3 linked regions of the Kluyveromyces lactis genome follow. The protein of the gene in region 3 binds, or shares a complex with, the protein of the main gene of each other region. Links are inferred from orthologs where the notes say so. Each region holds a gene or a part of one and is shown on either strand. Other genes may lie near its edges.

The links. Proteins that work in one complex are often made in the same cells at the same time.
Region 1: the proteins of KLLA0_A03905g (region 3) and INP2 are in contact, whole or in part, in a crystal structure (PDB 6IXR), measured with the Saccharomyces cerevisiae proteins. The link is inferred for Kluyveromyces lactis from reciprocal best matches to the Saccharomyces cerevisiae genes MYO2 and INP2. Residues at the interface, in NP_014971.1 of Saccharomyces cerevisiae: Ile1206, Ile1207, Ser1210, Trp1213, Arg1214, Gly1216, Phe1261, Phe1264, Ala1265, Ser1268, Ile1269, Phe1275, Gly1278, Met1279, Glu1283, Tyr1287, Phe1542, Asp1543, Gln1544, Val1545, Glu1546, Ala1547, Val1565, Val1569; in NP_013886.1 of Saccharomyces cerevisiae: His532, Gly533, Phe534, His535, Leu536, Asp537, Ile538, Leu539, Lys540.
Region 2: the proteins of KLLA0_A03905g (region 3) and MLC1 are in contact, whole or in part, in a crystal structure (PDB 1N2D), measured with the Saccharomyces cerevisiae proteins. The link is inferred for Kluyveromyces lactis from reciprocal best matches to the Saccharomyces cerevisiae genes MYO2 and MLC1. Residues at the interface, in NP_014971.1 of Saccharomyces cerevisiae: Ile807, Ala810, Ile811, Lys812, Tyr813, Leu814, Gln815, Asn816, Asn817, Ile818, Lys819, Gly820, Phe821, Ile822, Ile823, Arg824, Gln825, Arg826, Val827, Asp829, Glu830, Met831, Asn834; in NP_011409.1 of Saccharomyces cerevisiae: Leu13, Phe14, Lys16, Asp29, Arg32, Ala33, Gly35, Tyr36, Asn37, Thr39, Asn40, Ala77, Thr78, Lys80, Ala81, Asp85, Phe86, Lys88, Ala89, Phe90, Val92, Met109, Leu110, Leu113, Gly114, Glu115, Lys116, Leu117, Glu121, Glu124.

What each region holds. Positions count from the first base shown.
Region 1 is NC_006041.1:162,101-165,599, reverse strand, and holds INP2 (Inp2p), read left to right. Parts: upstream 1-851; coding exon 852-2,852; downstream 2,853-3,499. Other genes in the region: MSS11 (Mss11p), read left to right, coding at 1-377; QRI1 (UDP-N-acetylglucosamine diphosphorylase), read right to left, coding at 2,967-3,499. UniProt on the Saccharomyces cerevisiae protein: Required for peroxisome inheritance. Acts as the peroxisome-specific receptor for the myosin V motor MYO2.
Region 2 is NC_006042.1:962,036-964,436, forward strand, and holds MLC1 (Mlc1p), read right to left. Parts: upstream 1,077-2,401; coding exon 648-1,076; downstream 1-647. Other genes in the region: ERT1 (Ert1p), read left to right, coding at 1-492; KLLA0_F10461g (uncharacterized protein), read left to right, coding at 1,995-2,401. UniProt on the Saccharomyces cerevisiae protein: Essential light chain for the class II conventional myosin MYO1. Also acts as light chain for the class V unconventional myosin MYO2 and for IQG1.
Region 3 is NC_006037.1:348,203-351,964, reverse strand, and holds the start of KLLA0_A03905g (myosin family protein), read left to right. Parts: upstream 1-1,494; coding exon 1,495-3,762. Other genes in the region: FRT2 (Frt2p), read right to left, coding at 1-725. UniProt on the Saccharomyces cerevisiae protein: Myosin heavy chain that is required for the cell cycle-regulated transport of various organelles and proteins for their segregation.

The sequences.
Region 1 (3,499 bases), on a different chromosome or scaffold from region 3:
ACATACTTCCAGGACAAGGGGATCCATCAGATAATTCAAGTCCGTCCCAGCAATATCTACAACAACAGAGAGCTTATGAGAACATGGTAAAATCACAACAGCAAGACCAACCAATGAACAAAGATCATTTTGCCATGTCACTCCAAACACAACAGCCTCAAAGTTTTGATTCATATGCTATGCCAGCCACTATGGGTCCACAAGCATCTTCTCAGCCTTTAGACAATAATAAAAAATCAGAACCTCTCTCAAAAATAGATGTTACTAACAATCAAGATTTCAATACATTCTCTGGTGGTTCAAATAACAAATTGAATTTTGGTCAGTTTGATATGTCAGGCTTGGGTAATGAATTCATGGGAGGGCGGAAGCAGTAATATGTATGTTTTACATGTTAGCTCCCTCTCATATCCGTAATACTAGTCAAAATCGAAATCAAATGACATCTGGTTTTTGACCAATGTAATTTACCGCATGGCGACGACCTAAATTTTTTCCCTTTCTTTAGTACCTAGAGTATATACCTTTCCCGTAATTAATATGTAACATTAAACTATCTGATTCGTTTTCATTGATGACTTCATTGACACTCTCTTTCGTTCTGTTGCCTTAATCTCGACTCTTGATAATGTCTTCCTGCCAATTTGTTCCACGATCAATTTTGTCGGATACTACTTTCTTTGTAAACGTAAACAAACAAAAAAAATAAAAAAAAAGCGTAACTTGATCTACATATAAATGACATCTCACTCTCAATACATTGGACAATGTAGCACAAAACTTCGAGGCTTGTCAAGCGGCTCATCCATCAATCCAACAGGTTGAATATCCTCTCATTTTGAGTGAAAACAATGGACATTTTCCAAGCGGTGCCTTTGCATCTGCAAATCCCTAGGATTGAAATTCCCAAAATGGCATCTGCAGCATCGACTCCATCAACGATGTCTTCGTCACAGACTTGGAGCAGTTCACGCCCACAAGTTCCGATCAGTTACCAGCAGTTGCGCAAGCTTAGTGAGTGGGGTATTGAGGCTTTGAAGGACACTTCGCCGACTGTTGTAGGCCAAGATCGCTTTGAATCACAGGAGATTCTGATTGATAACGATTACAGAACTGATTTTCTGAACTCACATGAAGAAGATAGCCGATGGAGTAAACAAGTAGATTTGATCATGAAGCAGCTACCTTATGGTGACCTGGATGCCTTTGTTGATGAATTTCACTATGAAATCATTTCCTCGCAACTGTTAACAAGCTCGATCGCTTCTCATCACCAGTTATTTACTGTTCAGAAATCAATCCTGAACTTCAATAAGGAAAACACCCTATCGATTCACAACGCTGAAGGAAAGACTATACCTACAAAATATGGACAATTGTTAATTTCTGGAAAAAAATTCTATTTACAGAGAACAATTCCATACATGTTCACCATATTGACGGCAAGAAAAGCTTTCCGTAAAATGCTTTATAAGAGACATCTACCTAGATCCTCTCTGATGTCCTTATTGATGATTGCTGTTTATCTAGCTTTACAGCAAGAGTACTTCCATGCAAAATATTCCAAATACACTGCCCTTTTAAATCTACGACAGATGAATGCTGCATTGCAATCTGTAGACAAATTAATCTATCGTTATCACCTGACTTATAAAGAGCTGACTATTTACAAACCAATCGCATTGACTGAAAATCGTGGTCTACGTTCAGATGAAGCCAGAACACTGACATTACTAACAGATGTCCTTACATGTACAGTAGACCAGTTATTTCACAAATTGAACATTGCATCTAGTAACATTTTGCCGGTTGTGAATGCAGTTCAGTTAACTGATTATATCAGTATTTACAATGTGGATTTGCAAAGCCTATATCAAATGATCCGAACAGTGGAAAGTCTGGACATTACACAAAAGTTGGAGAGATTGCAATATATGAGAAAGTTCTTTCTGTGCTGCTTACTTTCAATAAACTACACTGATCCACTGAAAAAGTGTGAGATTGCATTAGTCTTGAAGAGAATTTTTCCTGGATACCATGTGGAAAAGACTTCCGACATAGAGCGATTTCAAATAATCTCGAAACAATTATACACATTAACACAAGGTATCTCATCATTGTTGCCCGTTTTGCATCATTACAAACATTTACTTTTATCCGTGTACGGAAGTACTATTGAAAAAGAGGATCCCGAATCAAAGGAAGCTGTAATAACCCAAAGTATCTATCGCTTGTCTGAATTGCAGCGATACTTGATGAAACAGGACAAAACATCTACCGAACTCTCTTCTCACCTGATAGATGAGTTGAATGGAATAATACAAATATGGAATATCGACTATAAACATAACTCGCATGAACAGTTGAAACCACCGAAATGTTCTCCTCGGCCTTCCAGTCAGAGAGTTTTCAGCGGTGGACTCAATCTTGATATCGTAAAGACGACCAGTGATATCCCCGTGGTAGTTGATTCATTTCCGAAACTCACTTCGCTAGTAGACGTGTTAGAAGTAGATGAAACTGGGTCAGACATTGAAAAAGAACATGAGGAATTGGTGTACGGTACTGAAAATGATCAAGAAACAGCTTCTAGCAACGACTCTAAGTTTTCTCGTTTTACAGACGACCAGTTAAGGCACGAATTAAACCAACGAATACTGAATCTGTCAATTGAAAATAAGAAAAGTAGAGAAAACTTGAGAAAACAGAAAAGTTTTGAGCTGATGAATCGGAAAATAGAAAATCAGAAGAAGGGCAGGCCCCAGATAGATTGCAAAGGTCTTTTCAATTCCGAAGAGAGTATACCAGTACTTTTCGAACTAAAACAATTTTTAAACAGAAGAAGTGATTGACCTACATCCAATATTGATATCACTTGAATGATAAAAGTATGTATTATTTTAGTATATATAATAAACTTAAACCACCAGCATTATCGTTTCGAATATATTATAAACACTGCCTGGTTAGTTCAAAATTTCGCCTTGCTTATCGAACACAGTGCCTTTATAAGAGTCAAGGTTTTCCCCGCCGTAAGACAATAGACTTGAAACTTCGACAAGAATTTCATCATTGACTAGTGCTCCTACATCTTTCAACCAAGATGTAGTTAAATGAAGGTAAGCATCCCTAGCAGTTTCAGGATTATCATTTGCAGTTCCAGGAGCGTTTTTTAGTGGAGAGAATTCTTCTGCTCTTTCGACTTCCAAACAACCAAACCTAGACATAGGAATGGAGGGGAAAACGTCAAAAATAAACTGTTCTAACTTTATACCGTTAGGTTCTGATGGTTTCACATATTTGTCATTGACATTATCGTAGTACGAAATTTTCTTTTTGGCTATATGATATGGCATAGATTCTACCCAATTGTCCAATTTCGTGTTCAATAGATCTACTGAATAGTAATGGTTGACAATATTGGCAGCACGTAAAGTTAGTAGCCCTGTGTCCTCATCAACAGCTTCTGCTAGAGGTTTTGAAATTTCTGAGTATTCTA
Region 2 (2,401 bases), on a different chromosome or scaffold from region 3:
GAAATGTGTCGCTGCTTAGCTGAGTTACGACCAATTTTCATTGCCAGTACTATCGACCTCACCGATGAAGATATGATATTTATGGAAAAGAGCCATCAGAGAACTTTATTAGAGTATGAGAAATTCATCTCTCAGGTTGGTACCCCAACTTGTGTATGGAGACGTAACGGACAGATCAGTTATGTGAATGACGAGTTTTCTCTATTGACTGGCTGGAATCGTCTAGAACTACTCAACAAAATGACCTTCATAGTCGAATTGATGGATGGTGATACGGTAATGGAGTACTTCCAAACGTTCACTAGGGTTGCATATCAGGGGTTCAGAGGTGCTGAAACTATGCGAATTTGTAATCTATTAACCCCGATCAAGGGAAGCGTTATTAAATGTTGTTGTCTATGGACGCTAAAAAGAGACGCCTTTGGTTTACCTATGATGATAATAGGGAACTTCATGCCAATTCTCACCCTACCAGAAGACGTTGGGTTTTGAATCTAGAACTGTCACAAGTCAATAGTATCGGACTGCTTAGAATAGAACAAAAGAGCAAAGCTCCTGGCGTGTGAGATTGGGTATTTATATTTATATATATATTTGTATTATACTAACTAATGCATGTAATCTTGAGTTGCATTACATCCTCTCTCTTATTGTCTCAATACATCTTCAACAAATTTCTTGTAGTCGATCAATCCGTCAGAGTCGATTTCGATCCCCTTCATCAATTCATCAACTTCCTCGTCAGTTAACCTTTCCCCTAGACCGGTCAATAGGTAACGAATATCACCTGGTGATACCTTGCCAGTATTATCCTTGTCAAAAACTTGAAAGGCTTTGATGAAATCCTCTACTTTACCTTGAGTAGTTTGCTCCAACTTCTCTTCGTTATCCTTAACTAATTTTTCTAGATCACCTAAGGTCAACTCGTCACCTGAAGAAGCGACAACTTCCTCCACTAGCGCATTGGTAGGATTGTATCCAATTGCTCTCAAATAATCACCAACTTGGGCCTTACTGATGGATCCCTTGGCTTGCTTGTCAAATAGCGTAAAAATATCTTTGTTGATTCTGGACATGATGATTGATTTCCCACTTCTTCAATGAATAATACAGTACTGCGTAATTAAATCACGATTCAGTATCACTTAGCCTAGCAAGAAGTAGATACTATTTAAAGCTCCAAGGTAAATATAAATCTATTCGAATGTGTAGAACAATGCATGCCTTCCTCCAGTAAATATATCAAATGTAAAGATACTCTTATTGTTTACGTTTTTCAAAATGGAAAACAAATTATTGTTTCTGGGGCCTCAAAAGCTCTTTTTTTGGACGACCTAAAACTCAGTCAGATATCATTTACCCGGATTTTAAATACCCATCACGTGAGTCAAATATATTGTTACCCGCACAATTCAACATCGCATTTCGAAAATTTCCAACCTTCCCTCGTTCAGTTTCTTTTCCTCAGCATCCAATGTTCCTGACATCTGATGACACTTTTTCTTTTGTCTTCTTGTCGAGCGATGAAAAGTGTTCAAGCTTCTTTTTTGATATGACCTATATAACAAAAGCGATTATTAACATACTCAATAACAGTTTTTTATCGTTCAGTGTCGTATCACTTTTGTTAACTAAGACATAATTTTCATTGTTGTGTTTTCTTTTGTTATAGCTCAGTACTATATCACAGATCAGTATACCGTTTAAACTCTGAACATTATATTGTGTTCCTTCGTTCATCAGTAAAAAAAAAGGTATGTGTGACTACTATGTCCGATTACAATAGGTTCGGGTTTCCCTCAGAGGCGATGGATATATATATATTCCCTAAACTCTAACACTATTCAAGATTTTAGACTTTTACCTATAAAAAAAGTCTTTGGTTCATATTACTAACAAATTCTTTTGATTATTATACACAGAGCTAATCAACTGTTCGTTATTAGTGTTTTTTCCGGTTAAAAAGAACATCTTCTTTGCCATTGTCTAAAACCATGTTTAGACTTGTCCAACAACAGACCCTAAAGAGTAGGGTCCCAAATCAGTTCGTTTCTGCGTCCAGAAATTCTTTAAATTCCCAGTTCCGTTTCAACAGCGCTGTCGCACTAGAGCGTAATCCTCAACAGGATCCAACAACTGCAGCACCAGCCAAGTCGTCTTCGGATAAGAGAAACTCTAAGAAGAAGTATGAAAATAATGAAATCATTGAACGTAACGTTAAAAAGGTCCGCAACCTAAGAAGAAACATAAAATTCGATAATTTCAAAAACTCTCCTAATTCTCCAGCTTTCTCTAAACTTAATGCCTTGGATGACTGTTTGGCCAGAGGTTTGGAAGCATCTTCCTCTCGTGCCCCCGATGGTAAATTCCTAGATCAATCTTCATTGTTTTGGGATTCGGT
Region 3 (3,762 bases):
GGTATATCTTTACAATCTACGTCTATCTTCATGTCCTTTGGATCAGTTTCCTTAGAGTTAAATATGGGGAAAAGTTTGTCAGTAAACCCTGATGACAAATAATCAAGCGCTCCAGAAGTATCACCGCAGCTGTTGGCAGATGGGGAATAAAATAAGGTCGGTATTATCTCTCTGTTGCATTTTGCCTTTGAAGCGGTCTCAAGAAACTGTCTTGCCAAAGAGTTGCCCTTAGAAGGTTGTGATTCAAAAGACGATGCTGTTGTGAGGTCGGGCTTCAACTGAGAGAAATTTAACAGTTTCGTGTGCGTTTTCTTAAATGATTGAGTGGAGGAAATTGATATGTTAGAGTATGATTGATTTTTTAGAAGACCCAGACTACTGTTACCGCTCCCCGGTTTACTACTAGCCATATGTCCAGATCTATTGCTAGAATGCTCATCCTGACATTTGAACGAGCCATCTAATAACGCATCACTAAACCTTAAAGAACCACACGTAATATCGTCATGGTAAATGTTTTTATTACTGGCATGATGAGACGGATTGAATTCGGTCAAATCCCCCATCTGAGTCTTAGAATTGATCGAAGCACCAGATTTACGACGTTTCCCATCCCAAGGGACTCGTAGATCTGCGGCATCATTCTTATGAAATACGGACCCGCGGAACAAAGGGTTAACCTGGGATCCAATATGGTTGGTATGTTCACGATGGCTAACCTCCATTAGACTTCGAATTTTTGAGTTTGAGTTTGAGTTTAAAGTTCCTATTCACAAAGTAATCTCCTCAGCAAAAATATTTCAACTCTAAAACCTCATTCCATGAAATATTTTCGTCTTTACTCGCCACGAAATGAAACCAGGCTGCTATCTAATTCTTATTTGATAGCTGCGCCTTATCTCCACCTACCGACTTCCTCTATTCATGTTGGAATAGAAATTGTCTGATGAAGAGACGAACCAGGAACGCTATTACCCGGATAGTGCATGTGATTTACACGTGACTAAAAATCACCCTTTTAAAAGGCTAATTTGAGGCCCCATAAGCAAATATTCGCCCCACCAAGGCGAAAATATCCCTACAAGTTTACCTCACTGCATGCTTATCCGTTGCTGGCGCGCTGACGCGAAAGGTTGAATCCCTGCTATTTGTTTAGTCCACTTAAAAAGCTCTTGGGACAACAGAAGGGAAAAAAAAAAAACAAAAAAAAAGTGGGATCTTTTGAACAACAAATATATATCTTATTTGATTTATATGTGTTTTATTTAGATTCACGAGTTTCAGGAGAAGAGTAGAGCGGAAAATACAGGGAGCGAGGCATCTGACACCGTGTATCCTTGTGACTAGCAGTACGAAGCAATAGGAGACTGTTTTGATTTTAATTGCCGTGTGTCATTGCAGATTCAATTGAGTGCTCGTTGGCTTTTTCTGATTCAATTATTGGTTATTTGATTTGATCTTAGATTTCAGGTTTTAAGCGTTAATCAGCATAGGATGCCGTACGAAGTCGGGACTCGCTGCTGGTATCCCAGCAAAGATCAAGGATGGATCGGTGCTGAAGTTACTAAACATACCTTGCAGGGAGATTCCTATAATTTGGAATTGACTTTGGAGGATGGACAGAAAGTAGAGCTTTTAGTGTCTTCTTTAGATGAAACCAAAGAGCCTAGTTTACCCCTACTTAGGAACCCTCCAATCCTTGAGACTACGGAGGATTTGACGTCATTGTCATATTTGAATGAACCGGCAGTTTTACATGCTATTAAGGCCAGATATGCCCAGTTGAATATCTATACTTATTCAGGGATCGTGCTCATTGCCACAAATCCCTTTGATCGTGTGGATCAACTATATTCTCAGGAGATGATCCAGGCATATGCAGGGAAACTTAGAGGTGAATTGGAACCACATCTTTTTGCTATCGCAGAGGAAGCGTATAGGTTGATGAAGACAACAGATCAGAACCAAACAATCATCGTTTCTGGTGAATCCGGTGCAGGTAAGACTGTTTCGGCTAAATATATTATGAGATATTTCGCTAGTGTGGAAGAAAATAATGAGGAAAACGCACATCATAATTTGGAAATGTCTGAAACTGAAAAGAAGATATTGGCCACTAATCCAATCATGGAAGCATTCGGTAATGCTAAGACTATTAGGAATGACAACTCTTCCAGATTCGGTAAATATTTGGAAATTCTCTTCGATGACGATACTTCAATCATTGGTGCCAGAGTGAGAACATATTTGTTGGAACGTTCTAGGTTGGTTTTCCAACCGAAAACTGAAAGGAATTACCACATTTTCTATCAAATATTATCAGGTTTATCCGACGATGAAAAATCTCAGTTGAAACTTACAGACATACAAGACTACCATTATATGAATCAGGGCGGTGACTCTCATATCGAAGGTGTCGATGACGCCTCTGAATACGGTGATACTGTGGAAGCATTGAGTTTGGTTGGTATCTCAAAGGATACTCAATTCCAGCTGTTTAAAATCTTGGCGGCCCTTCTTCATATTGGTAACATCGAAGTTAAAAAGGTCAGAAATGATGCTTCTTTGTCATCTGATGAACCAAACCTACAAATAGCGGCAGATTTGTTAGGTATAGACGCTTTTGATTTCGCTAAATGGGTAACGAAGAAACAGATCGTTACCAGGTCTGAAAAGATCGTCTCATCCCTACCTTACCACCAAGCCATAGTTTCTCGTGATTCTGTGGCGAAATTCATATATTCAGCATTATTCGATTGGTTAGTGGACAACATAAACACCGTGCTATGTAACCCTGAAGTGGTAAGCGAGATATATACTTTTATCGGTGTCTTGGATATCTATGGTTTTGAACATTTCCAAAAGAATTCTTTCGAACAGTTCTGTATCAATTACGCTAACGAAAAGTTGCAACAAGAGTTCAACCAACATGTTTTCAAACTAGAACAAGAGGAGTACGTAAAGGAACAGATTGAATGGTCGTTTATCGAGTTCAACGATAATCAACCGTGTATTGACTTAATTGAGAACAAAGTTGGTATTTTATCATTATTAGACGAAGAATCAAGATTACCTGCTGGTACGGATGAAGGATGGACGCATAAACTATATGAAACTTTGAATAAACCTCCAACTAATGAAGTATTCTCCAAACCAAGATTCGGCCAAACTCAATTTATTGTTAGCCATTATGCATTGGACGTCACTTATGATGTAGACGGATTTATCGAAAAGAATAGAGATACAGTTTCTGATGGACATCTTGAAGTGTTAAAGGCTTCTAACAACGAAACTTTACTATCTATTTTGGAAACTGTTGACAAAAATGCGGAAAAATTGGCAGAGAAACAAGCCCAAAAGCAAGAAAGTCAAAAGAAACCCGGTCCAGCCTCAAGAAAAATCGTAAGAAAACCAACTCTAGGATCTATGTTTAAACAATCGTTGATCGATCTTATGGAAACTATCAACTCCACTAACGTTCACTACATTCGTTGTATCAAACCTAACGAAGACAAAGAAGCATGGAAGTTTGACAATCTTATGGTTTTGTCACAGCTTAGAGCATGTGGTGTCTTGGAAACAATTAGAATTTCTTGTGCAGGGTTCCCATCGAGGTGGACATACACAGAGTTTGCCCTCAGATACCATATATTAGTACCATCAGAGCTTTGGTCAAATATTTTACTATCGGATCCATCTGAAGAAGATGTAAAGAACTTATGTAAGGAGATCCTGAAACGTACAATGGATGATACTGCAAAG